Anolis sagrei: one gene and its partner. The protein of the gene in region 1 interacts with the protein of each later gene in a pairwise test. Links are inferred from orthologs where the notes say so. Each region holds a gene or a part of one and is shown on either strand. Other genes may lie near its edges. The genes, in order: MYPN and ANKRD1.

Region 1 (17,487 bases):
TGACAGAGGGAGCTCAAACCTCTCTCCTTGGATTTAAATCTCTGATCTGTTGGTCAGCAGTTCTGCTGGCACAAGGGTTTAACCTATTGCGCCATGAGGGGCTCTTGGTAATATTATTCCTGTATTGTGTGCACGTCTTCACTGTAGGAGCAGGGGATGGGACAAAGGGAAATACTGGTTTGCACACTACACAATTAAACTATGGGATTCACATCAACAAGATCAGTAGTTTTAAAGGGGAACAAGGCAAACTGTGGTAGCTACTTGCCAGGATGGATATATACATCCTCCAGCAACAGAAACAATAAGTCTATCTGTACCAGTCTCTAAGGAAAGTGGACAGGGAGGGTGCATCTGTTTGACAACTGCGGGCACACTAGATGGCTTTGTGGCCATATCCAGCAAGCTCTTCTCATGTTCTTAACTAATCTTATTCTGGATTCAAGTTCATTGAGACCATGGCAGAAGAAATAATTTGAAGTATACTTAATCCATCAGTGCACAACTTGTGAGAATGTATCATATCACGTACAACATACACACCGCTGATATATGTTCTAGCCTGCAGTGTATCTGGCACACACACCATAGGCCGTTTTGGTTTAGTTCCAAGCCAGCAATGGCAGCTGGAATTCTGTTAAATCACTTGTGGTCTCTGTTTCCCTTGGGGGAGAATCCACATTTTTATAAGCCTGATTCAGTTTAATCTGAGGCAAAAGCTGACAGATATGGCACAGCAGTGTAAAAACCTAGCCAAACATGCTGTGTTATTGTCTCTCTTCCAAATTGCTAGACTGGTTAGAGAGAATGTAACTAACCTAATGAGAGTTGCAATGAGAGTTGTCAAATTCTGCAGGTTTTCAAATACATTTCAGAGGAGCTATTAAACAAATGTTCATCCCCCCCCCCCCCCCCTTAGCAATGGATGAGCAATGCAGTATCCAACCTAAGCAGTTATTTGTGCTGGATAGAGAGTATCACATCCTGCTTGTGATATTTCTGCCATGCATTCCAAAAATAGTCTCCCCACCAGAGACCAAAACATAGCTGGCTCATATTTATAATTTGTGATCAATTACAATTCCCTGGGTCCTTTTACAAAAAGTAACTACCAGGACATTGATCCTTTGCTAAAAGTGTACATTTGATTTTCTTTCAGTGTACTAGCATGATAGTAAACATATATTTTCTTTTAAACAGTTGTCTGGTTTTCAAAGATTGTTTTAATCCTGCCTTTTACAGGGTTTACAATCCCTTCCAATCTCTGCTGAGAATAGCTCCCAGGTCATGTTTTGGGCTACATGTCGATCTGCAAGACTCAAAAACAAAATAATTTGATGTAATTTTCAGTCAGTTATTCTCAGAGAAGTCAGTCATTCTCAGAGAAGTTAGTCCAACTTAAACAGAATATTAAAGATGATTCTCTAGCACAGTACGACTCAAAGTGATGGTCCATAGACATGAGGCAGACTATGAGCATTTCTATAAGGCAGTGGTTCCCAACCTGTGGTCTGTGGACCACCAGTGGTCTGCAAGAACTAAAATATGGTCTGTGGCCTCACCGTTACTACGCCATTGCAACAAGAGCAACTGGTCTCACTAAACCCTCTTATAGTGCCTCTTATAGTGGTCATTAGCATCAGGCTAAAATGATTAGTATTGGAACAATTCTATAATGTCTTCCCTTCCAATATTCAAGAGCTGGTTTTAGTAGCATATCGGTTTTGCTGTATTTCTGGCCAAGGGGTGTCCTCTCTTGGGCCATATCCTGGCCAAGAGGATAGCTTTGGTTGTATCTCTGCTGATACGACCAAGGCCAGAGTCTCAGAGCCAAACCATGCCTCTGAGACTCTGTCCTTTGTCTTATCCACTTTTTTCCTCACTCCATTATTGAAATAATGAGTCTGGAGTGGATGGTAAATGTGACTATTCCTTGGATTGTATGTATGAAAGAGAAGGAACATTACTGTACTATCTTTGTACATGTGAACACATGTATGGTGCCTGCAGCAGCATGAGCCCTGATTCACGGATAGCCTTGCAGGATTGATTCCATTTGTACCATTAATAATGCAACCTTACTGTTCCTCCAGATATTTGGACTTCAGTTTGTAGAAGTCCCAGCCAGCAAGAACAATAAGAGATCATATAAGCAAAAAACCAAAAACATCCAGGGAGCTCAAAAATGAATGCACTTGATAATCCCAAAAGAACCCTCCATTCAAATCTACCATTAATATCACTGCAGTCCCTTCTGTACTGCCATATAAAACCCAGATTATCTGCTTTGAACTGAATTATATGGCAATGTAGAAGGCACCTTGGAGAGAAAATAAGCATAACTAGTCATAATAGTTGATATAATTACTTTTGGGTAACTTGGCTAATTGGGATCTAAACCTTGGTCTCCAAGTATCCTAATTCAACATTCAAAACACCGCATCATGATAGCTCTACCTCTATGATCTACATCACTGTTATTATTTATATTCAATGGATTGCAATTTACTTTTTAAAGTGGTGTCTGATGGCTGTTTCATAAATGTAAGCCACTGTATTTGAAAGTTATCAAAAATACAGTGGGCCCTTGGTACCACTGGATTTGGTCCCAGGACCCTCTCTTATATGCAGTCACATACAAATATACTACCATTTCTCACTTCCCATCTGATTGGGACAGTGGCATGGCCACAGAAAAGAAACTGGCTGGCAGGATTCCTCTATCTGACAACACAATACTTGCATTCTGTCCCAAACCCTTGCACTTCTATTTAAAATAGGAATAGAAATTCTTTCTTTAAAGTGGTAAGAGGACAGAAAAGGTCAATGGCATTGTCTCAGTTTAAACTCCATAGCACCTTTGAGACTGAGATAAATAGTTGGCAGAATATATTTTCGTTTATTAAACCAGCTTCTGCAGATGCATGGAGGAAACAGACTATGAAAGCGTATACTACAACTGCTTTCTCATGCATTTCATGTTAGTATTTCATACTAACACAGTCATGACTTTGAATTCAGTTTAAACTGTAATGTTATAATTTAGAAAGTATTACATGCATTATTATTTATTTGGATTGGAAAACTACCAAACCCAATTCTAATTATATAATTCTACACACACACACACATATACACTAGCTGTCCCCTGCCACACGTTGCTGTGGCCCACATGGGGGTTCTGTGTGGGAGGTTTGGCCCAATTCTATCGGTGGGGTTCAGAATGCTCTGTGATTGTAGGTGAACTATAAATCCCAGCAACTACAACTCCCAAATGTCAAGATTCTATTTTCCCCAAACTCCACCAGTGTTCACATTTGGGCATATTGAGTATTCGTGTAGAGTTTGGTCCAGATCCATCATTGTTTGACTCCACAGTGATCTCTGGATGTAGGTGAACTACAACTCCAAAACCAAAGGACACTGCCTACCAAACCCTTCCAGTATTTTCTGTTGGTCATGGGAGAACTGTGTGCCAAGTTTGGTCCAATTCTATTGTCGGTGGGGTTCAGAATGCTCTTTGATTGTAGGTGAACTATAAATCCCAGCAACTACAACTCCCAAATGACAAAATCAATTTTTTTTGAGTGATGGACATACATTGGGTTATTAGGTATCATGTGTCCAAATTTGGTGTCAATTCGTCCAGTGGTTTTTGAGTTCTGTTAATCCCATAAACTAACATTACACACACACTAACATTACACACACACACACACACACACACACACACATATATTCCTTGTTTTACATCAGGTTTTTTTAACTGACCCTAAATATAGGCCACATACCATATTACATTGTAGCTTTTAAAAACTGCTGACATGTTTTCTATGCAGTGCTTTCTTGTATATGCAGTAAGATGTAGTGTTGGGGCTGCTAAAAACTAAGAAATGTATGTTGATGTTTTGTCTTTTATTCCTCTCTATGCTACTTGAGTCCCCTTCGGGGTGAGAAGGGTAGCATATAAATGAAATAAATAAATAAATATATAAATACTATCTGTTCTGATACAGCCATGCACCATGAAAGAACTCCCTGGATAGATCTGATGACAAAATTCAGTCCGGTACCTGCTTAGTAGAGATGCAAAGCTAACAAAGTATTAACTAATTTTAATCTAGCGAAAAAATATTAATGATCCACCAGAGGTGGTTGGGATTGTGATGGGATAGGTTATGAGATGACCCACACTTTGAGGCTATAGTTGTAATGTTTTTTTCTAGTGATGTGGAGAACTTTGCTATGAATTAGAAACAAATAAAAGCCAAAATGTAATTTATAAGACTACATATTAAAATAATTGAGTCCCTCAACATAATGGAGCTGCAATTTTCAAACTACAAATCACCAAGTGTTCAGTTGATTTCACTGATATCAGCCTTTTGACATACTAGAGGCAACGATTTAATCAAATTCCTTAGAAGCAAATGGCTTCAAAAGAGTAGTCTATTGTAATCCCAGATCCAAAGCAAAATATACTATTGTACACTGATTTTTTTAAAAAAAAAGTCAGTTCAAGTTGTAGCCATAAATTGATAACCAATTTGGCATCTACTGTAAATATTGCTTGCTATTACAACAACATTTTAGTATTGCTCAAAAACCCTTTTTGCTCCGTAAGTGTACAAAATATGCAAGGTTAATAAGATCAACAGCAGCTGATTGATTTAACACACAGTTGGATGAAATTAGCAACAGTTAAAAACTGATTAAAATATGGAATTAAAACTGATTGAAGCCATGGATGTATTTCAACATGTATAAAAGACTATAACTACTAAGATCTACATTTTTAGAGTCACAAAATTACATTCCTGAATTTCTTGAGTTGCCTTTGGGTTGGAGAAATGAGGGGTAGAAATGTTGTAAATAAATAAATAAATGCATAAATAAATGCTTATTTGAATATTGTGAAAGGTCATAATTAATAATCCCCTTTTAATAACATTTCTGCTACATTTTAAGCTGACACAGTAGCATTGATTTATGTGGGGCTAGTAGGTGAAATTCCCGTTACAGAAGTCAGCATAACTGATCTCTCCATGTTTAGATTCTACCACAAGATATACTATTTATTACAAATGGAAAATAATTGAACTGTAATTCTCAAACTGTTGCTCAGGCATCTCTGGAGTAAAATCTTGGGAAATGCCTTGAGAAATATTTCTCTATAGCCTTAAGAACCATATTTTTAAAACATTTTTTTCCTAAAAATGCTCATTAAGGGAAAGTGGCAAGAAGAGTATCCTTAGCTACTATGGATTATTCAAGTATGCATTTCTAGTTAGAAAATTTTGTTCTTATGGCCTACATTTCTTCTTTCTATTTTTCTTTGGCTCTACAAAATCCAAGAATTTATATTCAAACTTATCTGCATATAATGTTGTGTAAAATCCTTGTTCTACACAGTCTAAGTTTGCTTAATTATTTATTTTGCTTCATTATGTTCTCTCCATTACTGATTAATTCTACAATATAGCATGCCAAACATTTGCCACTGACAGTCAAAAAGTTTTTTGCAGAGAGAGAGAGAGAAGGGTGAGGGTTGAGAAAGCAATGCCCTTCGAGCAAAACTGTTCCTGCAGCTGTTGTGTACATTAATCCACGTAGCAGATCTTCAAACCCTAAATATAACTGGCAGTATCATTTTACATGACACATATTCTCTCTTTCTCACTCACTCATGCACCACACACACACTATGAAAAAGAAAGATTTTAAGTACACAGCAATATTTGCTTGTATTATTTTGTTTAAGAAGGAAATGCAAATAGTTGGTGTGGGTTTAGTGACTCTTAAATAACAATTTATACTGCAGTTTGAAAAGAGGGAGATAAAAAAGGGAAACTTTCTCATCCCCCCACTGCCTGTCTTCATGATTCCAAAGCTCATTCGGTTCTCTTTAATCTTGGATCCTCTTTGTAATTCAACCCAGAGAGTAAAAAAAAAGGGACTTGCTCCCCTAATATGACTTATCAGCAATAATGAGCATTCAGACATAACACAACCCGCCACCCTCTATTCTAGACCCTCCGTGCACCTGCGCAAGGTCATCAAAACATAGCAACACTTGAAAATTTAAAGATATTACCTTTTCTAGTTTGTCCAGATGTTAAAATCCAACTCTGGCACACAAACACGGTGGCAATTATTCCTTAAAATGAGATTTTAAATGACCGAAGCGATGGTACTCCTTCAGGTCTTTCGGAACTGAAATGTCTTGGAGTCCATCGGCGGAAGGGGGAAAGGCGTTAACCTTCGTTTTAGGGAAGATGGCTGTAAGAAGCCGGACAACCTGTCACCACTGAAGCAATAGCATTTGTCAGTTTGCAGGTCCCAAGTTATTTTGAGACACATAAACCATGTGCTTGTGAAACATTCCACCTCATTGGACAGGATAATATTGAGCAAAGGGATTCCATTGCTGTAACAGCACCTACGGAGGGTGGGATCCTCATTTTCCCTCCCCAAATAGAATATCTTCAGTGGATGCTTACGCATTCTCGGCGCGACTTGTTCATAAGAACACATGAAATTGATTTCATATTATTCAGGTTCTAATCTTATCAAAGAGGAGGGGTTACTTTAAAAGCCCAAAATAGTGAGATTAAAACTCCTCCTTGTTTATTTAGCTGTGTCTTGTTCTCTGAACGTCTAAGATGCCTAACATTACATGCTGTTAATAAAGAAACACGTTTTTGGGTCATGCTGGTTTTTGGGTCATGCTGTTTTTATTTTTTTAAAAAACCAAACCTATTTTAAACAGAATTTAACTGGAATATCCAAACAGCTATGTTAGGGTAATACTGAATTGTTATTAGAAATATTTTAAGAACATTGCATTAATTAATAAAGAAATTAAATAAGAAGGCAAAGTTTCATAATGAGGCAATTCCATGAAACGATGGGGAGAAACCTCTAGCAGGGAGGAAACTGAATTTTTGTTAGCAGGTCTTTTCATCAAAGTACTATACTATAACTATAATTTGGTGGAGGTCTCCAAAACACACTGAATGTCAATGGTTTTAATCCTATATTATACGTTTATTTTTATTTTTTTATTTTTTGAAATATGTTTATTATAATTTTGCTTACAAATATTTTAAAAGCAGAAAGATTGCATGGGGGAGGGTGATTGGGCAGGGTTGGGTATAAGGGTGTGTGGGGAAGGGTTAGGGATGTATTGGGGAATGGGGGGCAAGCGACAGAGAGTCGAAGATAAAGGAAAAAAGGAAAAGAAAAAGGAGGAAAGAAAGGTGAAAGAGAGAAGAACAAAAGAGAGAGAGAAATACCTAGCAGTTAAAAATCAGAGTTGAAGCAGGTTCTGTTCGTTGACTTCCACCTTTATCTTCCCTGGGTAATTTTAGTTTTCATACTGGTACCATGCTTTTATTTGATGTTGGTCACTTCTTTTTTGGATTTTTCAAATCTCTAATTTCTTGTTTTCCATTCTATAACTCGTACTTACTTGGGAGTATCAAGTCTTCGTGGGTTTCATTGTAATTCCTTATAATTTTTATAAAGGGTCCAGTCTGTTGGGTTTATAGGTTTGCCCTCCGGGTCTTTTAGGTAGTATGTCAATAGGTCCATATCCATAATTTCGGATACTTTAGTTTCCCATTCTTCTTTGGTTGGCAGTTCCTTTAGTTTCTACTTCTTAGCATATATTATCCTTGCGGCTGTTGTCAGATAGGTGAACAGTTTGTCCTCATTTTTTTCCAGCGGAATGTCTTTATCCGTTATGCCGAAAAGAAAGTATTCTGGTTTTATTTTTATTTTTTTAATGAATAAGTCATACTGTATACCAAAACATTTACTTTTGATTAGACATATATAAACATGTTTGTTATTGTTGTTTATTCATTCAGTCACTTCCGACTCTTCGTGACCTCATGAACCAGACCATGCCAGAACTCCCTGTCAGCCGTCACCACCCCAGCGCCTTCCGAGTCAAGCCAGTCACTTCAAGGATATCATCCATCCACCTTGCCCTTGGTCAGCCCCTCTTCCTTTTTCCTTCCATTATCCCCAGCATCATTCTCTTCTCTAAGTTTTCCTGTCTTCTCATGATGTGGTCAAAGTACTTAATCTTTGCCTCTACTATCCTTCCCTCCAATGAGCAGTCGGGCTTTGTTTCCTGAAGTATGGACTGGTTGGATCTTCTGGCGGTCCAAGGCACTCTCAGAACTTTCCTCCAACACCACAGTTCAAAGGCATCTCTCTTCCTTCGCTCAGTCTTCCTTATGGTTCAGCTCTCACATCCGTAGGTTACTACGGGAAATACTATTGCTTTTACTGTGCGGATCTTCGTTGTCAGTGTGATGTCTCTACTCTTCACTATTTTATTGAGATTGGTCATTGCTCTCCTTCCAAGAAGTAAACGTCTTCTGATTTCCTGGCTGCAGTCTGCATCTGCAGTAATTTTTGCACCTAGAAATGTGAAGTCTGTCACTGCTTCCACGTTTTCTCCCTTTATTTGCCAGTTATCAATCAGTCCAGTCGCCAGAATCTTGGTTTTTTTATGTTTAACTCAACCCAACTTTTGCACTTTCTTCTTTTGCCTTGGTTAGAAGGCTCCTCAGCTCTTCCTTGCTTTTGGCCATTAAAGTGGTATCATCTGCATATCTAAGATTGTTAATGTTTCTTCCAGCAATTTTAACTCCAGCCTTGGATTTGTCAAGCCTCCTATGTTGCATGATGTGTTCTACATACAAGTTGAATAGGTTGGGTGAGTGTATACAACCCTGCTGTACGCATTTCCCAATCTTGAACCAGTCTGTTGTTCCATGGTCAGTTCTTACTGTTGCTACTTGGTCCTTATACACATTTCTCAGGAGAGACAAGGTGATTTGCTATGCCCGTACGACCAAGAACTTGCCACAATTTATTATGATCCACACAGTCAAAGGCTTTAGAACAGTCAATAAAAAAGAAATAGATGTTTTTCTGAAACTCCCTGCCTTTCTCCATTATCCAGTGGATATTGGCAATTTGGTCTCTTGTTCCTCTGCCTTTTCTAAACCCAGCTTGCACATCTGGGAACTCTCTCTCCATGTATTGCTGGAATCTTCCTTGCAGGATCTTGAGCATTACCTTACTAGCATGAGAAATAAGGGCCACTGTATGGAAGTTTGAGCATTCTTTAGCATTTCCCTTTTTTGGTATGGGGATAAAAGTGGATTTTTTCCAGTCTGATGCCCATTCTTGCGTTTTCCATATTTGCTGGCATATGGCATATAAGCATGATCTGGAAGCAAAAGGATATCCTTTCCACTACTGCATTTAAGTACTGATGGGAGAATGTTCTTTAATTCCAACATCTCTCAAAATATTTCCTGTGATCTAGATATTAGTAGAGCCCCATTTTATTCATTTTTAAAACAAGTTAGTGTAAATGTAAAAAAAAAAAAAAGAAACAACCCAAAAAAAAAAAAACTATTACCAAGAGGAGTTGGAATCATATGATGTTCTAGATGTTTTTAGACTGCCATTAGTGAGTCCCAATCAATGTAGCCCAGGGTAATAGAAGATGTAATCCACTTTAGGATCACAATAAATTGGAAAATTGGAGAGGATAAATCTTTCAAATTCTCCCACATTCCACAAACAAACTCAAGTTCTTTGTAACCAATTTTTAGAAATTTTGTGAATGGTAGTGATTTCATGTCAAAAGCAATCTGAAATCAAATTTTCTTCTCTACCCATCGATTCGCCACTTGCACAATAAAGAATGAGCACTAAAGAAAAACTGAGCCTGGCACCTTCTGTTTACTTAACAGTTTCTTTTACAAATTGTTAGAATTAAGATTCTCATTAGGTAAAAATATTAGTACCCCTACATCTCTGCAAGATCAGAAATTGGAGGAAGACTTTCTTTTTTAAAGATGTCCATATAGTTTAAGGAAGACTGTTAAACATGACTAAGAATTCAAAATATGGGGTTTTGCTCAATGTGTCCGATGATGCTCTAGGTCGGATATTGTTTGGGGCACAATGTGCTTTCAGAAATTATAGCACCTTGTACTTGAATACATTCCAGACTCAGCATACACTGTTGCTATTAATACAAGCTGACAGCACTGGAAAACTGAATAATTTACATTCTGGAAAATAGTCATTATTCTGTATCACTTTGCTTAGCCCCTTACTGCTTTATTAAAAGCTCAATGTTACACTGTCTATTGGGTCTATATTATCTTATTTAGGAATTTTTTGTGCACTCTGTCACTAAAACTGGACCTCTGTCTGATCCTGATCTTGTTTGGTGTATGGCATATGTGTGGATACACAAGCCAAATAATAATAATAATAATAAGAAGAAGAAGAATCAGAATCAGAATTTTGTGGTCTCTTAAGGCACAAACTTCTGAAATGCTATCTGCTCTAGTTGAAGCTGAGGAGTCTTACCACTTCATATAGACTCCTTAAATTTACCTGTCCAATTGACCCTGAAGTGTTTCAGAGAAAAGGAAATCCTAGATTTCCACCAAAAACGAGAAAGCTGGAAATGTCAAGATCTCATAACTACACTTCTTCAGAACATTGCTGCCACTGTGCATCATGAGTACTTACTCAACCTCAACATTATCAACCAGGCTATCTAGATAATGTGCAGTTTCCACAAGTTTTGCACCAAGCAGGCAATCCATTATGTGTCTGTTATCTCCCACAGGTACATCCCCAGAATGAGAACATTTGTTGATCCCCCAAAAAACCTTCCTGGAGTGGTGCCTCTTTGCCTCAACATCCTCATTCTCCACAACAGCAGCTATTTTGTCAACCTGGGAATGAGACACGATTATCACAACCCCGATAACTTTGTCTTTCTTTGACCTAGAAAGAATAAACTGGTTATCTAAGAGCCAGGAGCTTGTAATGCCAAGCATACACCCATGATGTTGCTGCAAGCAGGCAGTTACACAATAAATTGAACAGTTCTGACATTCTTACTGGCTTCTATTTACAAAGGCAACTTCCTCTAAGGACCTCATCATGTGGGTGAGGTCCAGTGTTGCGATTCATCAGCTTCTGTGTCAAATTGGAGTAGCAGCAGGGCAAACCTGGCACACCAGCCCCATCACACGTGGGGAAGCATCACTGCATGGTTTAATCCCATGGTAGCCCCATTGTTCCTAATGGATCATGGGGAAGCTACTGCTGCACGTCTGCTTGACTCATGGTGGCTGGTGTGAGCAAGGATTTAGGGTGGTCAAAACAAACTGTTGCACCTCAGAGTAGATTCACCTTGCTGAAGACACCAAACCACACACAGCCAGATGTCTTTATAGTTATTAAAAATAAAAGGTAAAAAGGTTCTTAAAAGCAAAGGTTAATGTTCCAACAGATCAATATAAAATAGCACTTGAAGCTTAATCCAAAAAGGCATCAGCAAAGCAAAAACCCAAGAGAACATGACAAAGTCTTGTCATGAACACAAAAACTGCAAGATAAATCCAGACAAGCATAGGCAAACTTCTTAGTTGAACGCAAAGTTGCTTTGACAAAGATTTGGTCTCGCACACATGGCTTAATACCCTTTGCAAAACATGAAGGCATTCTTTGGCTTCTGGCCTCCCTCTTGTTAGCTATTCTTTCACTCCTTCGGACTTGGAATTCCAAACGGTCAGCCCGATCTAAGGTTTCCATTTTGCCAAGGTCAGCCAGTTTGTTAGTGTCAGCCTGTTTCCCTGCTTGTTCATTATCAGGCTGAGAACTATCCTCCTTCTCTGAGTCAATCTGCACCTCACCTGGCTATTTTCAGTATCAACACTCTCATTCCTTGCTGTGGGATACTGCACTTCTTCATTGCCTATAACAGGGACGTCTATAACAGGGACATCTTGAACCAAACTGTGAACCTGAGTCCCATCATCCTCATCAGAGACAGTCTGTGATTCCAGCTGAGTCACAACAGCTACCATGTTGGTGGCACAGTGTCCTACTACCCACAGAGCCCCGTTGGAAGTCTGCCTATGTCATATGATGGGCGGCATGGGGCTCCGTGAGTGAACAGGAGTAGAAGTGTCTTGGGACACTTATTTTTTCACATGTGATGAGGTCATAGGATTGAGACACTTTGGGCACATATACATGTACACTTTAGCCTAAAGCAAGTGAGAATGGGCTCTATGATGTTTACATAACCGGTTTGAATCCCTCTACGGAGAAAGAGAAGATCGGAATATTAAGTTTTAAAGAAATAAATAAATACATACATAAAACATGAAGCCATCTTGCCCCCAACACAGGGCACAGCCATTCAACAGGATTGTGCTCCACATTAGGCAAAATTGGGGAATGCTCAGGAGCTTCCCCAGATTTTGAGGTGGTGGTGAGATGAACACTGGGGCCAGTTTGGAATCAGAATTACCCCCACAGATCACACAAAGGTGTTTGCACAACTCAGGGGGGAGGGGGTGGCCCTATCCCCTCTTCCAGTCATGTGGTTGCCTTTGCTTACATTAGCAAGGGCACCAAGTGATAGCCACAAGCAGGGGTGGCTCAACCCATTACGCAAAGTAAGCATTTGCAGTATAGTTGATTTTGCCCAGTGGCACTCTTGAGGCACTCTTGGGGGAAAATAGACCTTGACATATGCGAGTTGTAGTTACTGGGATGTATAGTTCACCTACAATCAAAGAGCATTCTGAACTCCACCAATGATGGAATTGAACCAAATATGGCACACAGAACTCCCACAACGAACAGAAAATATATTTCAGTGATTGGTTGGGGGGGGGGGGTGCCAAAATACTGTTTGCTTTCTGTTGAAAATTATCTAGGGCCACCTCTGGCCACAAGCTCTCTGGAGCTCCAAGTCCACTGCTACAGTGACAAACAATCACATAGGTAAGGGTTAGCATCCAATGGAGCCCCACTGACTTATTCCCAACTGTGGCTGCAGCCAATTAGATTAGGAAGCCTAATTAAAACCAAGCCAAAGTAAGCTATAATGGGCTCAACTCCAGGGCTGCAGAAGCCTCTGTTTCAGTTTCCTGAATTTGCATGCAACTCTACTAATACCAGTTTAGCAGCATGCAAAGATTCCAGCCCCTAGAAAGACTTATATTGTTTACGTAAATGTCTTTAAACAATTCCAAGGACTTTTACTGACTTTACAGTTATTGTACAAATGTGTTCTCCCAACTCACACAGAGCTTTGCAGACCCTCGAGGAGTTTAACAATCCTCCACAAACTCTTCCGGAGGTTTTAAATCCTGCATGGAATCCTGATGTGGATTAAACCACATTAGCACTCCACCAAGATAGCAATAAATACATTCCATCATTTGGAACCAATAATAAGTATCAGGGTATCACACTCCCATGTGTAAGCATAATTTAAATACTTCCAACACAAAACTCTTGAAGACAGAAATATAAGTTATGAAGTTGTAAGGTTATAGGCACTTGGATGATCAAGTGTTGAAAAATGGTATCAACAAAAGTTTGAGCAACCAACATTTAAAAAAAACAGTGCAATGGAGGGATGCTAAAACCCCAAATACAGTTATTGGGAAACTAACCAGAGCAGACTCCACTTCCAAAGTAAAGGACATAGGATATGGGTGTCAGATTGAATTGATGAAACTTCGGCCTTACTTTGAAAGTAAAAGGTCCAAAAAAGCAGCTAAGGTAACCTAATAATTATATTAATTCCTTATCAGGAATTCCAAAATCCAGACTACTTCAATTGCCAAAACTACAGTCATGAGTGACCTTTGCTTTCAGATGTTTAACAAACTATATTTCAGACAGAAAACTGTTGAAAATATTTTATTAAACTTTCAGGGTATGTGTATGAGATATATATGGAATATAAATGAATTTTGTATTTAAACTTGTGTTCCATCTTCAATTTCTCATTTTATATGTGTATGCAAACACAGGCTTTCCAAAATCCATGAAAAATACAAAATACAAAACATTCCTGGTTCCGAGCATTTTGGATAAGGCATGCTCAGTCTATGTTAGTTTATGGAAGCTAGTGTTAACTATTATAATGATCTGTGATAACAATGAAAGGCCTTCTTGGAAAGAGAGATATTTCTAATTCTGTTTTTTTTCTGTTAGTTTTAAGTTTTATTGTATTGCCATATTGCCCACTTTCTATTATTTGTCTGATGTTAAATGGCAATGGGACAGAGTATCTAATCAGGATTGGTTTCCTTTGAGAAGAAATCATTGGAAGTTGATAATATTCCATAATACGAGTTTATTTACAAATCTACTAGGGCTGGGCGGTTTCGTTTCGTAATTTCGTAATTTGTTAAAAATTCGTTATTTTTTTGATAACGAAGCGATATTGAACCATTCAGGAGCAACTAAAAAATAAACGAATTTTTCCAATTCATTTCGTAATTGTTTCGTAATTGTTTCGTTATTGATTCGTAAATGTTTCGTTATTATTTCCGCATGTCTGGTGCAAGTTTTAGGGTTGCTGTTTGTTTTCTCAGTGAAAAAAATATAATTATCACACCAACAGTCAACAACAGAGGGAGAGGGAAGCTTCAGAAGTTTTTTTAGCGTATTGTGCGATCGCGGCCGCCATTAACGAATCGATTCGTAATCGATTTGTAATCGTTTCGTAATTGTTTTATGATTTCTGAAATTTCGTAAATATCGAACTTTTTTTAAGGAAAATTTCGGAATTCTTTTAAATAACGAAACGCAAAAAAACCCTAAAAATGAATCGAGTTTAGAAACAAATTTTTCCGTGTTTGGACAGCCCTAAAATCTACAGGTGAAACATTCCATATACAGTCTATCCCTATGCACCAGTTATTCAGACAGAGCACCCCTGCATCTCTTTGTGCTACGAACTTATTTGAACCTCTGGACATACTCCCTTCCTCATCACCCCTCTCTTTCAAAAATCTGCTGTCAGACTCCTTTGTTCCCTTTCACTCTCTCACATACTTCTAGATTTCACCCCCTTGAGCTACCAGAGAAAGGTCAGCCACTGCCATTCCTTTCTCTTCTTATTTTCACCTGTTCAAAACATCCAGTATCAAGAAGTAATTTACTGACAATTAATTTCCACTGAGGTCCATTGTTCAAATATCCCAGACTATTAATATCCTTTTCTCAATTCCAGAAGATTGGCTAGGTATGGCCTTAAACCATAAGGCAAACACAATGGTACTCCTGTTCACAGTCATCTGGCAGTAGAAAGAAGATGGTTTATATGGATGGTGGTATAAACCCCTTACAACAGCTAAACAGGTAAGGAGAAATGATTGCATGAATAAAATGTAACTGCATATTTAATACTATTGAAATGTATTGGATTAAGACCTACCAAATCCAGATCCACTGAAAGTAATGGTCTCTACTAGTCACAACTAAGGAGACTCAATGATATGGGATCCTCAACACAATGTTGGAGTTCAGCCTGTGATTGTGTTTCAAGAAGTGTTTTAGATGTGGGGAACTATGTCAACGAGGGTCAAGATGGGGATGGTCTGGTCAATGATATTAATGCAGATAATGACACAGAGATGACGGTTCAAAGTGTAGTTTCCCATGAGAATGTTCCTAAAGGGTATAGGGATGATAGTTTACTCCCTGAATTGCTCCCAGAGATTTCCCAGGATTTGGGGCTTGAAAACAACTTGGCACCTGGAGAAACTAATGAGCATATAGACAGATGGGTGGAAATTAGCCAGAACAAACAGCTTGGCCAAGGCCTTCGCTGTTCTGCAAGGCTTTGAGAGATAAGGATGAGAGGCATTCAGGGAAAATGAAACCAATTTCTGAGCACTTGGAATGGCTTAATGAGGAGATATAAAGTTCCAACCATGGGAAATATAGTCAGATGAAGCATTGTTTCAGAATCCTCTTTGTCTCTTGTGATTATATACTCATGCTTCGGATCAATGTTTTCCTGGTTTTTTGGATTTTATTAGAGAAGTCTGGTCTTTGTCTTTGAACTTTGCTGAACCTTAGCTTGGAATACTTTGTTTCTGCTTATCTTCCAACCTAACTGGATTTACCTATTCTCTTAAAGTGTTTTTTTAACCTTGCTGCTTTTACTTATCTCCAATAAAAAAAAGGATTATTTTCCTACTCAATGTGTGATGTTTTGAAGTCAGGGGGTCATTCCTGTTCTGGAGTACAGTACACGACAACTCTCATGGTCCTATAGCATTGAGCCATGACAGTTAAAGTGGTGTCAAACTGCCTTTAATGAAGTAATAATGGAGCACTGAAATAAATGGACATCAGTCATTCATTCCACCCTCCCCCCTAAAGTAAGGCAGCTATAATCTGAAATCTACATAACTTGAAATCTGGTAGTATTTTGTAGTATTTTTGTTGCTGCTGTGCCTAAGAAAGGCCTCACACTTTACATGGACTGAAAACAGGACTCGGTTTCTTTTTGCATGCAGCTCTCTCAGTAGGATATTGTGTGGTTTCCGGGCTGTATGACTGTGTTTTAGCAGCATTTTTCTCCTAATATTTTGCTTGCATGTCTGGCTGGCATCTTAGAAGATCCTATGGAGATGCTAGCCACAGATGCAAGTGAAACATCAGAAGAAAATGCTACTGGAACATGGCCATACAGCCCAGAAACCCCAGTGATTCCAGCCATGAAAGCCTTCGACAATACTGTCCATCCTTTCCCCTTAATGGGGTGGCTTTTTCTCCATGGCCATTATAAAACATGTACCAACTCATTAGCACAAGCTCATTTGCCCTCTATGTCTCTTCATTATGACATATATGAAACTAACTATCTGTGTAGTGGATGTTTTGCATTACAGCTCCCATACTTTCTGCCATTGGCTGTGATTTCGGGGAAATTGTAGTCCAAAACCTTTGCGCTTTTGCTTGTATAAACAGGAAGGCCAGATAGCTGCTGCAGCCAGGAAGTCCTTTGCTCAGCATTGGGTAGATTACCACCTGCACCTTTTCATAGGGCAAGCAGATATGCCCACTGTGGTTCATTCCTTAATTACCTCCCAATTAGCCTATAGTAATGCACTTTATATGGAGATACCCTTGGGAAATACTTGGAAATTGCAGCTAGTACAAAATGCAGTGACCAGATTTCTTTGAGGTACGTAGTGATATATTATGGGCCTTGTAAAAAGTGCCCTGATATCCAATTTGCTTCTAAAATCCATAGTATTTTTTGTTTGAACTCATACGCCCCCCCCCCCCCCAAATCTTAGGGTTAGGATATCTGAAAGTCCATCTTCTTCCATATGAGCTTTTCTCAAATTTGAGATCCCTGGCAGAAGCTCTGTTGCATATTTCAGCATCTCATAAGGCTAAGTTGGAGGATTCACATAACAAAGCTTTCTCTGTCACAGCTCCACAACTGTGGATCTCCCTTCCACAACAAATCAAGTTGACTTTTGAGTTTCTGGTGGCCAGCTTATTTCACATTTCCTTTAATCTTTAAAATCAGGTGCAGCTGTTTTAAACTATGTTTTAATACTATTTTTAAAAATTGGTTTTGTTTTTTTGAAAACATTT
Region 2 (16,719 bases), about 15 Mb from region 1:
ATGGTGGAAAAGGGAAGTCCATACCTAACCTTTTGCTATAACTCAATGGTTGGCCATTGAGCCATGGCAAAAGTGGAAGAAGTGGAAAAGCCAGGACCAGGTCCGCAGCCAGGATTTTGATTCGGGGCTGAGTTTGATTCGAGGGGGGGGGGGGGGGGCTGAGTCTGAGTGAAAGAGGGTCTACCCTAGCAAACCTTTTGTATCATTACCCCAATACCCCCATGCATATGGGATATATTGAGTATGGTGATCAGATCATGATATGAATAAACATAACAGTTAAATAATGCACTAGTAAGGCCTTTTCACGAACCACCATGAGACTTGGGGGGGGGGGGGGCTGAAGCAGGGGGATTGTGACAAATCTGGTGTGGGGTGTGGTGAACCCATGCCCCACTTGCATCACCCACATCATCTTGTACCTCATTCCATGGGTGGAAGTATCACCACTCACAGGCATGTAGCCGGGGGGGGGGGGCTTGAGGGGCTTCAGCCCCCCCCCCCCAAATTCTCATGGTGGTTCATGAAAAGGCCTTACTGGTGCATTATTTAAACTGTTATGTTTATTCATATCATGATCTGATCACCATACTCAATATATCCCATATGCATGGGGGTATTGGGGTAATGATAGAAAAGGTTTGCTAGGCTAGACCCTCTTTCACTCAGACTCAGCCCCCCCCCCCCGAAACTCAGCCCCCCCCGAAACCCCCCCTGAAAAAAATTCAGCCCCCCCCCCCGAAACGAAATCCTGGCTACGGGCCTGACCACTCAGCTTCCCCCCATTCTTCTCTATGGAACATGGGGAACCTCCCATGTTCTTGCTGCTGCCTGTTACAACAGTTTCACTTCACTTCAGGCACGGAGCCTTGCTGGAAGTAGATCTACATCATGTGATGGGATCTGGTGGGCTCCATGCCTGAAGTAAGGTGAAACTGTCATAGGACGGGCAATTTTGCTCATGTGATAAGGTCGCAAGTTTCACCCCTCTCATCGATAACACTTTTTTATTGAGCGGCACAAGCAGTATTATACCCCTGCCTACAAGACATTATGTTGCTTGACCAAAACCATTATGCTTTTTGAAGTGGAGAAGAAAGAACAGAAACAAAGGTCAGCCAAGTTAGTCTGGCACATGGGGCCACAACAAAATGGCAGTAAGAATGCAATAATAAATTAAATAATTAATCTCTTGGCCCTCAGAGAAATCCCCAAATAGCAGCCCACAGTGAGCACTGCTGCTTAATGCTAGCTGTGACATTGTGGTTGACTCCCTCCATTCTCTCCTTTACAAAAACGTGTAGTTGTTTGCTTCCGCGTTTGCAGCAGTGGCCTGTACTCATACAGAGATTTAATAGGGTACATTTTTTCTGGCATGAAGATAAGGGACTGGGAAACCTTACAAAATGTCTGGGTCAGGCAGCCATTAAAGGGAATGCAATCACAGCAGCATAACATTTGATGACAAAATGGAAAGTTATTTACTGTTACGATAAAAAGGAGCAATTTCCGAAATCTCTGGAGAGCTGTTTTTTAAACGCCTATAGTAAATGATGCAACAAGAAATGATGCATTGCTGTTTTGAGATTCTGATGTAAGAAGGCTATGTCTGTTCTGAGCAGACACATGCCAGATTATGAGGTTTCCTTTCCCTTTTGTTCTAAACCTTTTCCCTCAGTGGTTTGGATACATGGGAATGTTTTCATGTACCATGCCGGTAATTTTAATAAAATTGTATTCATTGAGAAACAAATTGCCTCCCTGAGTCATCTGTATTGCCAAGAGACAAGTTAAAGAACTAACTAGTGCACTGTTTCTCAACCTGGGGGTCAGAGGGGTCGCCAAAGACCATCCAAAAACACAGTATTTTCTGTTGGTCATGAGGGTTCTGTGTGGGAAGTATGGCCCAATTCTATGGTCGGTGGGGTTCAGAATGCTCTTTGATTGTCAGTGAACTGTAAATCCCAGAAACTACAACTCCCAAATGTCAAGGTCTATTTTCCTCAAACTCCACCAGTGTTCACATTTGGGCATATTGAGTATCTGTGCCAAGTTTGGTCCAAATCTGTCATTGTTTGAGTTCTCAGTTCTCTCTGGATGTAGGTAAACTACAACACCCAAACTCAAGGTCAGTGCCTACCAAACCCTTCCAGTATTTTCTGTTGGTCATGGGAGATCTGTGTGCCAAGTTTGGTTCAATTCCATCGTTGGTGGAGTTCAGAATGCTCTTTGATTGTAGGTTAACTATAAATCCCAGCAAGTACAACTCCCAAATGACAAAATCAATCCCCTTCAACCCCACCAGTATTCAAATTTGGGCGTATTGTGTATTTTTGCCAAATTTGGTCCAGTGAATGAAAAGACATTCAGCATATCAGATATATTATTGTTACATTACAATCTGTAACAGTAGCAAAATTACAGTTATGAAGTAGCAACGAAAATAATTTTGAGGTACTGTATTAAGGGGTCGCTGCATTGGGAAGCTTGAGAACCACTGATCTAGTGCATGTTGTTGTTGTTGTTGTTGTTGTTGTTGTTGTGTCTTTGAACAGTTTCCAGCTTATGGTAATCATAGGGTAAATGTATCATAGAGTTTTCTTAGCAAGATTTCTTCAGAAGGGGTTTACTACTACCTTCCGCTGACACTTAAAACCTTATCATACCCGGCAAATTTTGGCGGCAACTCCAGTTGTGCTAAAGCTTTGCCACAGAGTTTGCTGGCTCCCACTACACATGGGAAAAGTATTTCCGGGGTGGCTCCAGGGCAAAACTGTGGCAGAACTGGAGTCACCACCAAAAGAAAAAGCCGACAGTGGCAACATGGGAGGCATCTCGTGTTGCATTGCCCTCAATGGAGCAAGCCAGCCAGCAGACACTTCCTCCCATGTGATGAGTGAGGAAGGAAGCCAGAATGGTGCGAGACGTGGGATGATATGTCCCCAAGCCTCCTGAGTGAGTGCTGCTAGGATCACCATGATTCTGGTGGTGATTCTGACAGGGCTGTTAGTATGATTTGCACAAGGTCATCCCTTGGGTTTGCATTACTGAACATAGATTTGAATTTCCCAGAGTCATGGTCCAATACTTAGAACCACTACATTATGCTGGATGTCATAACACATCATATGGGCCTGGATTTAACTAAGCCTTTCTCCCTTAAATCCTAATTCTACCCTTTCCACCCACGCATCTAGTCCATTCAATGCCTGGGAAGTACAGACCAGAACTCACTTGGAGACTTATGCCAACATAAACATTTTTAGGTGTTGCACAAAGAGACATTAGATACCTCCTCACACAACATATTGACCAAAATGTTTAGACATTAAGATAACTTCTGGTTGTTATGGCCCACTAAGCAATATCTAGTTATAATTGCTCAACAGGGAAACAAGGAACAGATTTGTGATAGAGGTTATATGGCATGGCTTGAGGTCCTAATTAAAGAACAGAGAAATCAATGGTTTGGAGAAACAAATTAAAAGTTTTTTTATGGGAACTCGTTTAAAGATAGGAAAGTTACCCAATTTAAACTAGCTTTATTCTAAGAAAGAAGTGAGAGAGGACAGGAGGGAAGAGGTGAAAAACATCATTAAGTATCCGTTTACATCACAATGCAATCATATATTTATTTTTTGCATCAGGAGCAACTTAAGAAACAGCAAGTTAAGTTCTGGTATGAGAGAATTGGCCATCTGCAAGGATGTTGCCCAGGGGACGCCCGGATGTTTTGATGTTTTACCATCCTTGTGGGAGGCTTCTCTCATGTTGCCGCATGGGGAGCTGGAGCTGATAGAGGGAGCTCATCCGTGCTTTCCTCGGTTTCAAACCTCCGACCTGTCGGCCTTCAGTCCTGCCAGGACAAGGTTTAACCCACTGTGCCACCCTAGTGCAGTTATGATAGGTAATTAAGAAGAGAGGACCAAAAAACCCTATTACCACTGAGGCATTCTTCATTGCTAAGCATTGTTGCACATCTAACAATTTCCCCTCTGTCTTAAGGATAAAGCAGATCCCTCTTCCTTGGCCGTATAATGTACAGAGACTGGATACACACCTACTGTACATTTCACCATGACTAGGAGGCAAAGCTGGACCTGGTGGCTACAACTGATGTTACACAATCTAGAAATCAAAATTATCTACAAGACCATATCTCCTGATACAAATTCTGCCTTGGTCAGACCACACCTGGAATACTGTGTCCAATTCTGGGCACCACAATTGAAGGGAGATCAAGGGTCTAGAGAACAAACCCTATGAGGAGCGGCTAAAAGAGCTGGGCATGTTTAGTTTTCGGAAGAGAAGGCTAAGAGGAGACATGATAGCCATGTATAAATATGTGAGAGAAACTCATAGGGAGGAGGGAGCAAGCTTGTTTTTTGCTGCCCTGGAGATTAGGGGCGGAACAATGGCTTCAAACAATAAGGAAGGAGATTCCATCTGAACATTAGGAAGAACTTCCTGACTGTGAGAGCTGTTCAGCAGTGGAACTCTCTGCCTTGGAGTGTCGTGGAGGCTCCTTCTTTGGAGGATTTTAAACAGAGGCTGGATGGCCATCTGTCAGGGGGGCTTTGAATGCGATTTTCCTGCTTCTTAGCAGGGGGCTGGACTGGATGGCCCACGAGGTCTCTTCCAACTCTATGATTCTATGATTCTACTAGCTGTCCCCTACCACGCGTTGCTCTGGCCCAGTCTGTGTATATGTGTTTTGTGTGTATGTGTGTATATATATGGTTTTGCGCATGCGTTGTAATTTTTTAATTTTTTGGGGCTTTTAAAGTCTCTTCCGTTGTGTTTTTCAGTGTTTTTTTTTTAGTTTTTGTCACTTTGTTGGCCTGATAAGTGTATTTTGTCCAAATTTGGTGTCAATTCATCTGGTGTTTTTTTGAGTTATGTTAATCTCACAAACGCACATAAAATTTTTATTTATATAGATGACGTTGGAGGGGTGGAAAATCAAATGTCCTTGAATTGCCTTCCCCAGTTTGAATCCCTATATCACATGGAGTCAGTGAAATTGAGCTAAGTATCTCTGATCGTAAATTAACCACAAAGGCAAAGAAATAAACATAGTCTAGATTCCAACCGAATGACATTGGGACAAATATATAACCTGGAAGTCATCCTCCTGCCTCTGAGGTATGGAAAGCTACCTGCTTACAAAGCATCTTATTCAAAGTCAGTAACCCGAAACAAAATGCTTACATTTAAGGCAAAGCTCCAATGTTCACGCCTCTCCCGCCCTTTGGTTCTTTTCATGTTTGTGGGCACAAATACAGTTCCTGGATTGGTGGACATTTACCTCACCAAGCTGAATCATCGTCTTCAGACTCCACCGTCTGCATCTTTAAGGTTCTTTATACTGTACTGGTGGGATGACTGTCGGTCTCTTTCCAGGAGGCTGCCAAGAAGCAGAGGAGCATATTGGAATAGGCACAGGGCCCAGGCAATTTGCAGCAGCTGAGAATCTAAGCCATGCTCCACTGAGAAGCACTCCGCGTGCGTTTCCTCCACCATTAGCATTATATGCTAGTTTTGTATCTCAATGGAGAAATCATACGGGTGCATCCTTTGTGTTTTAAAAGATAAGGGCAGAGGTAAGAGTCAGGAAGCAGAACAGAATTTGTATCCAGAAGGTACGACTTCACAGCCCTTATCATAAAGCCACTCTGTTATTAGAGATGAACAAGGGAAATGCTTTGGGCAAATGATACTGTAGATACTGCTCAAAGTTATAATGTTCCACTCTATATCGGCCTTTAACCCTAGTTTTGTCATCTTATAGCAGCACATAGGAGAGATAATACCAAGTGTGCAGGTACAGCTGTACCAGGAGCTCCAATTTTGTTTGCTTTGCATTTAATGTTTGTTGTAGTCCTAAGTTTCAGGGACTCTGCGGATAGGTGGCTTCTTTTGGCAAGCCACCTGTCAATTATAGTTAAGTTCCCTGGTCCCTTTTTGGGTTTTGTAGGGAATAGGAGCCATTTTGGGCCAGTCCACACAGAGAAGCCTTTCATACAGGACATAAAACCAAGAATTCCTGTAGAAAGCTTCGTCTTCTACAGCTTGGCCGGGGTTATACAGCCCACAGCTTGGCCGAGGATCATACAGCCTTACAGCTCCTTTGCTGAGGGACTTCAGCCAGCCATCACCGAAACTCCTTTTTCCTCTGGAAGTCTACAAAGCTCTGCTTGGTAAGGGTCACTCGCGGAAGCCAGAAGCAGTTGGTACCGGGTGCAGGGGCTCCACGCCAACAGAGGCAAAGACAGACTGCCCAGATTAGAAGTTAAGGATTTCCCCATTAGTTAATGTACAGTTTATGAAGATAGTGCCTGTTCCCTGTGGACAAGATTGAGAGAGAGCCAATAGACTATTAAGAAAGCCTTAAAGTACCTGTTTATTTTCAATAATAAAGAACTTTGTTGAACCTTTAAGCAATCTAAAGACTCTGTTTTAAAGAAATCCAAGGGCCTTTAATCTGAGGCAGCCCCGGCGTCCCGTTGGGCACACAGAATGTATGTCCTGTCTACAGTCTTATGCACAGGCCCAGCGTGCGACAGCACACCAAGAGCGATCCTTTTGTAGGCAGAAAAGTACGGCTTTATTTCCAGCTGGGACTTTGGTGTGGACTCTCATCCAAAAGCAAACCAGAGTGAAGATAAAGGCATAGACTTTTCTTTTATACAACTTCAAATGCAGGCAAACAAAGAAACATGCTTCTATATACGTTAACATCATCACTACATCACCTTAAGCATCATAAAAAGGTTAAGGTTGTCCCCTGACATTAAGTCCAGTCATGGCTGACTCGGGGGTGTGGTGCTCATCTCCATTTCTAAGCCAAAGAGCCAGTGTTGTCCATAGACACCTCCAAGGTCACGTGGCCGGCATGACTGCATGGCGCGCAGTTACCTTCCTGCTGGTACCTATTTTTTAAAAATATTTTTATTAGTTAGTTTAGATATAGATACATGGAAAGAGGGGGAATATTCAAAAGAGGAAAGCAAAGTAGGAAAAGGATAGAAAAAGAGAGGGAGAGAGAGAGAGAAAACCGATGAGAAAAACAAAAAAGATGACTTCCATTCCAGCCTCAGGATCTTCTTATCTTTTACTTTTACTTTTTACTTCGTTGTTACATTTACATCTTCTTTGTATCTTTCCTTTTTCTGTTTTTTTCATAGTCATAGAAAAGGACCCAATCTGTCCTTTCAATGATTTCCCGGTATTTATCTTTAATAAAAAAGTTAGCTCATCCATATCTCTTATTTCTCTTACCTTATCCAACCACTCATCAATAGCAGGGATTTGTTCTTGTTTCCAAGATTTTGCAAAAATAATTCTAGTGCTGTTGTAATATATGTAAATAGTTTATCTTCATTTTCGCCAAGTTGTAGTTCCAAGTCAGTAAAGCCTAATAGATAATACTCCGGGTTCTTTTTAAACTTAATATTTTTTTGTATCTCCTCATGAATCAATGACCAATATTTTGATGTCTCCTTACAGGTCCACCACATGTGATAGAATGTACCTATCTGATCACAACCTTTCCCCACTGGAGCGGTACCTATTGATCTACTCACATTTGCATGTTTTCGAACTGCTAGGTTGGCAGAAGCTAGAGCTGACAGCGGAAGCTCACACCGCTCCCTGGAATTGAACCTGTGACCTTTCAGTCAACAAGCTCAGCAGCTCAGCGCTTTAACCCACTGCACCACCGAGGGCTCCTTGAGAATAATAGAAATATCAAATTCTATCTTCTACGTGCAAGGGGCATGTATCTATACTTTTTTTCTAAAAGCAGTTTACAGCTTACATTCATCAAAGGGGCCTACTTTGACCTGTCAGGAGGGAGAGAGATTGCTTACTTAGAAATATGATGGTATAGCCTGTGCTATGCTGTACTAGTCTCTGTATCGATAACACGACCCCCTTCTCTTCCCCCTTTCAACACAGATCTCCTTCAGCATTATTTCTGGCCTGTCAGCTCGGCTTTCTAATACAGTGAGCACTTGATTTTACTTACATTTCAGTGCTTCTAAAGTACATACAATATATGTATCAATATATTTCCAATATCTCCCCATCAATCTGGTAATTGCACTTTATCAATTAGCCCTGTCCTCACAATTTGATTTGCACCAGCCTGCCCTCCGGAGACCGGAAACTGTTACTATTTCTGGCCACTGGTTGTTGCTCGATTGTTTTTTCTTTTATTACATTGTGTTATATATCTGGTTGTTTTATATTGTGTTGTGATGTTGTTATTTGAATTTTAATGTGCAGTAGTGTATACATCCCATATAGACTACTGCAACATGCTCTACCTGAGGTTACCTTTCAAAACTGTTCAAAAGCTTCAAATGGTCTAGCAGGTGGCAGCCAGGCTACTAACGGGAGCGGCTCTCAGGGAGCATACAACTCTGCTATTGCGCCAGTTCCACTGGCTCCCAATTTGCTACCGGGCACAATTCAAAGTGCTGGCTTTAACCTATAAAGCCCTAAACAGTTCTGGCCCAACGTACGTATCTGAACGTGTCTCCCCTTACGAACCTTCCAGGAATTTAAGATCATCTGGGGAGGCCCTGCTCTTGATTCTGCCTGACGAGGGGCAGGGCCTTCTCAGTGGTGGCCTCTCGGCTGTGGAACCCTTCCTGGGGATATTAGATTGGCCTCCTCCCTCCTGACCTATAGGAAAAGAATAAAAACCTGGCTCTTCGAGCAAGTTTTTGGAACCTCATTGTAACCAGATAAACTCAGTATTGTGAACGAATATGGAATGGCTTAACTATGCAAATGGAAATGGATTTAAACTCGGAAGTCATTGATTTTTATAGTTTTAAATTGTTTTTATATGAATTTTATTATGTGATTTAATCTGCTTTAAACGATGCTTTTATGTGTGTTCGGCATCTAATTGTTGCCAGTCTGTATGCTGCCCTGAGTCTCCTTCGGGCTGAAAAGGGCGGGATAAAAGTGTGGTAAATAAACAAACAAACAAACAAACAAATAAATAAATAGTTTGGACTTTTATTTAAGCCGAGTCCTTTCGGGGAGATGGAGGCAGGGTACAAAAATAAAGTTGTTGTTGTTGCTGCTGTTGTTGTTAGGCAGGAAATTGTGACATCTTCTATTGTAGATGCTTCAATCCATTTCCATGTTTGAGCATTGAAACATGGTGAGAAGGGTGGAATATAAATGCTTTAAATAAATAATAAATAAATAAACTATGTTTATGCTGCCGTTGTCAATGACTTCAAACTACAGGAAAGGAGATTCCACCTGAACATTAGGAAGAACTTCCTGACTGTGAAAGCTGTTCAGCAGTGGAACTCTCTGCCCCGGAGTGTGGTAGAGGCTCCTTCTTTGGAAGCTTTTAAACAGAGACTGGATGGCTATCTGTTGGAGTGCTTTGAATGCAATTTTCTTTCTTCTTGGCAGGGGGTTGGACTGGATGGCCCATGAGGTCTCTTCCAACCCTATGATTCTAGGTACACTGAATTTCAATAAAACCTTCATTCTTTGGCATGGTCTTTAAAAAAGTTTTTAAAAGTTTTTTTTTTAAAAAAATGCGGAACTTCTGTGATGTTTTTGTGGAACCCTAGTGTTCTGTTTGGAAACGATAGAAAACCTTGACTGATTATGGATAATTTTCTAATCTGAGTGGAAATTGTACTTCAAGATTAATTTTGGGGTCCATATTTCCCTTTTGCTCTAACTCAGAAAAATATTTTTTTAGGACTACAACTTCAATGACCCCCTATACTGCCTGGAGGACTCTGGAATTTATAGTCCCAGATATTACCTTTTCCCCAGCTCTGAATTCTGCTTATAAGTAGTGACAGATTCCAGAGAAAATGCAAAGCCAGCGGGTTCCATTTCTTATGCTGATGGTAACTTACTGTGTCATTGAGGTTTTTTTAGCCCCAGAGACATCATTCTGGCTTCATAATCCCTTTGGATAATTCCTTCCAGCAAATATAGACAAGTGCCATGATGATGGGTAGAGGAAGGGGAGGGGGGAGAAAAAGACCACCCCTTTCCCTCTCATACTGTTTACAATCCGAGAATAGAATATCACGAAAAGAATGACTTCCCATACCTGAATAGATCACATGTTTGCTTAGCCAAAGATGATGATACGCTGAGCACGGCATTGGGTCACTTGTCCTTTTCCTGGTGTCTCTGGCTCATGTGAAAGTCAGTTACGATACAGCGCGGTATCTGCAGACAGCTGTCCCACTGGGCACTGGACAGACAAAATGTCTAGCATTGCAGAGCTATTTAGTCATCACGAATGGAATGAAGCTCTAGTATTTCACAGTGATTCACACAGGCAGCCCAGTTACACATGGCAAGATGTAGCCCTCTTCTTTTTCTCCCCCCCCCTCCCCTAGCCATTCCTATCTTTGACACTAGATCTGGCTAGTTAACATGTCTGGAATGCAAGAGCACCTATCTCAGGGCTGGGGGGCTGAGGGCGTACTTGGATTCCCAGGTTGGAAGATTATCTCACTCTGAAGAAGTTTTTGCAGAGATATATAAGCTGAGCGAGATTGGCGCATTTTAGCAAAGTAGCTTTGGATAGCAGTGGGAGGAGGCATCTTCCTTGGAAGGAGTACCAAACAGTGTTAACACTTCTTGATAAGCCAGCTGGAACCATGATGATGCTGAAAGTGGAAGAGCTGGTAGGTTGTTATTCTTCCTTTATGGTTTGCATTTTGTAGGCTGGTATCACACACTTTTGTCAAGTGTTCCATATAAGTTATGAATTAACTATAGCAGAAAGAGAAACATGGCTGGGCAGTCTGATCAAGTTTTATGTGACATGTGATCTAATGATGTGGTTTTATGAATTGTCTCTGAGAATCTTTGTAATAGAGCAGTGTTTCTCAACCTGGGGGTCGGGACCCCTGCAGGGTTCATGAGGGGGTGTCAGAGGGGTCACCAAAGACCATCAGAAAACACAGTATTTTCTGTTGGTCATGGGGGTTCTGTGTGGGCAGTTTGGTCCAATTTTATTGTTGGTAGGGTTCAGAATGTTCTTTGATTGTAGGGGAACTATACATCCCAGTAACTACAACTCCCAAATGTCAAGGTCTATTTCCCCCAAACTCCACGCAGTGTTCACATTTGGGCATATTGAGTATTTGTGCCAAGTTTGGTCCAGATCCATCATTGTTAGAGTGCTCTCTGGATGTAGGTGAACTACAACTCCAAAACTCAAGGTCAACCAAACCCTTCTGATATTTTCTGTTGGTCACGAGAGTTCTGTGTGCCAGGTTTGGTTCATTTCCATGAATGTATTTTCATTCACTGGACCAAATTTGGCACAAATACACAATATGCTGAAATTTAAATACTGGTAGGATTGGGGCAGGGGGTGGTTTTGTCATTTGGGAGTTGTAGTTGCTGAAATTTATAGTTAACCTACAGTCAAATAGCATTCTGAACTCCACCAACAATGGAATTGAACCAAACTTGGCACACAGAACTCCCATGACCAGGAGAAAATACTGGAAGGGTTTGGTGGGCATTGAGTTTTGGAGCTGTAGTTCACCTAACTCCAGAGAGCACTGTGGACTCAAACAATGATGGCTCTGGACCAAACTTGGCACAAATACTCAATATGCCCAAATGTGAACACTGGTGGAGTTTGGGGAAAATAGACTTGACATTTGGGAGTTATAGTTGCTGGGATTTATAGTTCGCCTACAATCAAAGAGCATTCTGAACTCCATCAATGATAGAATTGCCCCAAACTTCTCACACAGAACCCCCATGACCAACAGAAAATACTGTGTTTTCTGATGGTCTTTTGCAACCCCTCTGACACCATCCTCGCGAACCCCCAGGGGTCCTGACCCCCAGGTTGAGAAACACTGATCTAAGTGCAAGGACACTGAAATTTTCCCCGTAAGTGCTTTCATAAGGAGGAAAAGGGGTTGCTTCTCAGATGAAAGATAATTCTTTTAGTTTGTTTGCTTGTTTAAAGTCTGTTTCATATTTCTTTACCACATTGTGACCTCCAAAACATAAATCTTATTTGGGGATTGAGTCATGCATCTGAAACACCCGAATCTCTTCTATATAGACTGGAAAGTAATCTGACAATGCATTTCTGGTTATGTTTTCACCAAGCCAAGTTTGTGAGATTGATTCAGAACTAACAATTTTGGAGAGGATAACGTGTATGTGAGCATCTGTGAATGGATAGGCTTAATTGGCATCTTCTATCTCAGGTCTTTTGACTGTCTTATTAATGGCAAGAGTTAGCAGTGAAGGAAACAAATGGAATAGGAGCCTTCTCGAAAGGCTGTGTCTTTGGAAAGGTCCGGCATGGGTATTTCCTATAATTGTTGTCCAAATATCCAGGAGCTGTTCTGCAAAATTTTTATCAAATCCATTGCCTTACCAGAGGGGTTCATTAATTAAACAGTCTTCGACACCAGCCAGGATGATTGTTTAGAGATTTGAACCAAAAGAAATTGTAGCTGACAATCTATACAAGTGATTCACAACCTGTGGTCCATGGACCACCAGTGGTCCACAAGAACTAAAATACAGCCCACGGCCTCACCATTATGACACCGTTCCAACAAGAGCAATTGGTCTTGTAAAACCCTCTTATAGTGCTGAGGCTTACTAAATATATATTTTTTGTGAGCGAGCAGATGGTGACTACTGGATGGCATATGTTCTGTATCAGAAACTAGAGCTGATGTGGTCTATCCAATGCAATTTTCTGAATCAGCACCCCAAATAACTAAACTGAATCGAGAGTTGACCAAAAACTGATTCGTAACCCTTTTGGTACTAATGTTGGAGAGTGGTCCCTGGTCAAAGTGGTCCCTGGTATATAAAAAAAAGGTTGGGAACCACTGGTCTATACAGTCCCCTGTAATCAGTGGGACTTCCAAGCAGATATGGATAGGATCGAAGCTAAGAAGCTTTGATCCCAAAAGAGCTTGTATTGAATAGCCTCCTTGATTACTACCATGTAAATATATCTTAGGCTTTAAACAAAACTTGGAGATGTTACCATTTTGGATTACAACTTACAAAACCCTTCAACCAACATGGGCCAATAACTATGCAAGCTGAGCATTTGAGGAAGGTGGTTTTTCTAAGCGTTGTCAGTGATAAGGTAGTTGTGAACAAGCCAGAAACAAGGACCCATACCATTCATTCTGAACACCCAAAGGACTTTTAGGCATGGTGAGAGATTCCCATGCCACATGGAGAATTTCAAAACCAGATGGCATAGGAGTCTGCCAGTCTACGAGAGGCAGGGTGAATACAAAAAATCCCTTAAGGGTTACCTAAGCTCTTGGGTGACCCAAAGCAACCAATCCCAGCCATTGACCTCTAGTCCAGATAAAGTTAGTCATGACTACAACCCCAGGGAGCAATGAAAGCTGTATTACTGATAGTTCATTTGTGTCATTGACTTCATTGAGGCTGAGCTACATCTAATTTTAACAGGATTCATTATATGGACTAACTGGACTGGCTGACTACACATAGCAGATGCCCAATGGTAGAACAGAAATGGATTTTTTAATGTTATGGTACCTGTAAACTATCTGTAATTATAGATATAATTGTTTCTAGTTAGTCTGAGGTATTCTGCTCAGTGGCTTAGTGGCAATTGGTGGCTTTCATATCAATGGAGTGATGACTTCATCCAAGGTTTCAGTCTCCAAAGGAGCGAATCAATTGCTGGACCAATACTGGGGAATATAGTTCTGAGTAGATTAATCACTGACATGGAAGCTACCAATGGACTCTGCTTCTGGATCTATCTTCAGCCTGCTGTTTCACATATGTCTCCATCTCCAAATTCTCCATTGCTTTACTGTTTTTCTCCCCAAAGCTGATTTATTAGTTAGATGGTTACTCGGTGCAAGCTGTATCTATCTAATGACTGTCTGATCAGTTCAAATCAGTAAGTGGAACTTTGCCCTGCCATCATTCACCATTGGTATGACCCTTAGGATTACCTGCTCACAACACCACAGGGTAGGTCCAGAGCTTGGAGATGGTTACTGTTTTGGATTACAACTTTTGGGGACCTTGGCGCTTCTAGCTAGAGGATTTTTGCAGGTGCAGTCCATAAAAGAAACTTTTCTTAGCTGATGTTAGTACTATGTTGGTACTGTTAGTACCAACCTTCCTGTGTCTGCCCACTTTTTTCCTTTCAAAGCTACAGAGAGCTTTCCATTTGCAGGCTCCCATTTGTATTATTTTGCCACAGTATAAATCCATATTTTTTCCATATTTCATTCACAAGCACACTCTGTTCTCAAGTAACAACTTTTCAGATCACTGCCCACTTTGCCTCATTTCCTCCAGGCACTCTGTGTCTTGACAGCTTCTGCACAATTTTTTTCCCTTCCCACACACCATAAAGTCCATACTATGGTAATGACAGACATCTCAGCTCAGTTCTTGTTGGCTTTGTTCTCTGTTCAAATTTCTTTTCATCTGTCTATAATTCCAGATATCTTTCTTAATCTATCATGATCATGAATCTGCACCATTTTTAATACCCCACCATCTAGACATCTTCCTTCCTTCCACAAGTTACTAGTGAAGCAATTGCCTCATTCTGTTTAATACTGAACAAAATGATAAGGTCATAGAATCTTAGATCATAGAGTTGGAAGATACCTCGTGGGCCATCCAGTCCACCTCCCTGCCAAGAACCAGGAAAATCACATTGAAAGCACCTCCGACAGATGGCCATCCAGCCTCTGTTTAAAGGCCTCCAAAGAAGGAGCCTCCACCACACTCCAGGGCAGAGAGTACCACTGCTGAACAGCTCTCAGTTACAAAGTTCTTCCCAATGTTCAGATGGAATCTCCTTTCTTGTAGTTTGAAGGCATTGTTCTGCATCCTAGTCCCCAGGGCACCAGAAAACAAGCTTGCTCCCTCCTTCCTGTGACTTCCTCTCACATAACCTCGTTGGGTTGTAAGGTCAACCTTGTTGGGTTGCAAACTGGTTCTTCACTTGAGAATTTGGAACATGGCAAACACTGCTTCATGGCATCTTATATCAGCTCGGCTGTGTTGCCTTGAGGCATTCATTGAACTCTGTGGTGTCCAGTCTTTGGACCTCCAGTTGTTTTAGACTTCAGCTCCCAGAATTCCTGAACACTGGGCAAGGTAGACAGGGTTTCTGAGAGTTGGAATCCCAAAGAGCTGGATGACCAAATGTTGGATGCCACTGATTCAACCCATGTTTTCAAAGTAATTCCTCTCCCTGTGCTTTTCAAGGGCTGCACTAATAATAATAATAATAATAATAATAATAATAATAATAATCTTTATTTATACCCTGCCACCATCTCCCCAAAGGGGACTCGGTGCGGCTTACATGAGGCCAAGCCCAGCAATACATTACATCAACATAAAATATAAACAACAAAATAACATCACAATAAAATAAATAAACCAATCAAGTAAAATAAAAAGTACAAAATAACATAATGGAAAATGCACGACATAAAATGATAAAACTCTGGAAGAGATAGCAATGAAAAGGTACACTCTGTATAATTGTTGCCCCATTCTAATGGGTCATAAAGCAAAATATTGCACTCTGACACCATGTTTTTCCTTTGACAGGTGACTGGCAAAAAGAGTGATGGCAGAGAGACAGGTGATTTTCTCCCGGAGGACTTCAAACATGGAGAATACGAAGCTACTGTGAGGTTAGAAAAACATGAGGATCTGAAGACGGTGAATGTTCACCTGCTCCCACGGCATAATTTGACCTACACAGAGGAGAAAAAGCTACAAGCCGAGGTAAATATATAAACATTTTTCTGTGTAATTATATCTTGAACATCTCCTTGTATCTCTGTAGCTCTAAAGGTCAGAATTCCTTTGGCCATCTAAACAAGATAATCTCAGGAGGATGGTAGGACACAAACAATGAAATTGTTATAGGTTGTTGTTTATTCACTCAGTCACTTCCGACTCTTCGTGACCTCATGGACCAGCCCATGCCAGAGCTCCCTGTCAGCCGTCACTACCCCCAGCTCCTTCAAGGTCAAGCCAGTCACTTCAAGGATACCATCCATCCATCTTGCCCTTGGTCGGTCCCTCTTCCTTTCTCCTTCCATTTTCCCCAGCATCATTGTCTTCTCCAGGCTTTCCTGTCTTCTCATTATGTGGCCAAAGTACTTCATCTTTGCCTCTAATATCCTTCCCTCCAATGAGCAGTCGGGCCTTATTTCCTGAAATATGGACTGGTTGGATCTTATAGGAATAGTCTTTAGAAAAGGTGACCCAACCATTCTCCAAGGCAGCATAATCCACTGTTGAGTAGCTCTTAGGGTCAGGAAGTTCTTCCTAATATTTAGTCTGCTTTCCTGCCATTTGAATCCATTGCTCTGTGCCTTAAGTCTTCGGAGCAGCAGAAAACAAACTTTCCCCTTCCTCAATGGGATCGCCTCTCAAATGTTTAAACATTGCTATCATGATCCTTCTTAGTTTCTTTTCTTCATGCTAAACATACCCAGCTCCACATCTCTGTATTGTCCACATCTCTATATTATCACAAAATTATCATTACCATTTTTGTAACCATTTGACTGTTTTGTTCTTTGAGAACAAGACCGATGTCTAGGGCAGCAAAATCCCAATTCACATCCCCCCCCCTCCCCTTCAAGGAAGGTGAAAATAGGAAAGACATTAGTAAGTTGAAAT

Evidence for each region.
Region 2: the proteins of MYPN (region 1) and ANKRD1 interact in a two-hybrid assay, tested with the Homo sapiens proteins (2 studies listed by BioGRID). The link is inferred for Anolis sagrei from reciprocal best matches to the Homo sapiens genes MYPN and ANKRD1.

Annotation. Positions count from the first base shown.
Region 1 is NC_090023.1:170,217,947-170,235,433, reverse strand, and holds the start of MYPN (myopalladin), read right to left. Parts: upstream 6,314-17,487; 5' UTR 6,095-6,313; intron 1-6,094. UniProt on the Homo sapiens protein: Component of the sarcomere that tethers together nebulin (skeletal muscle) and nebulette (cardiac muscle) to alpha-actinin, at the Z lines.
Region 2 is NC_090023.1:184,859,890-184,876,608, reverse strand, and holds the start of ANKRD1 (ankyrin repeat domain-containing protein 1), read left to right. Parts: upstream 1-10,398; 5' UTR 10,399-10,664; coding exon 10,665-10,691; intron 10,692-15,633; coding exon 15,634-15,813; intron 15,814-16,719. UniProt on the Homo sapiens protein: May play an important role in endothelial cell activation. May act as a nuclear transcription factor that negatively regulates the expression of cardiac genes. Induction seems to be correlated with apoptotic cell death in hepatoma cells.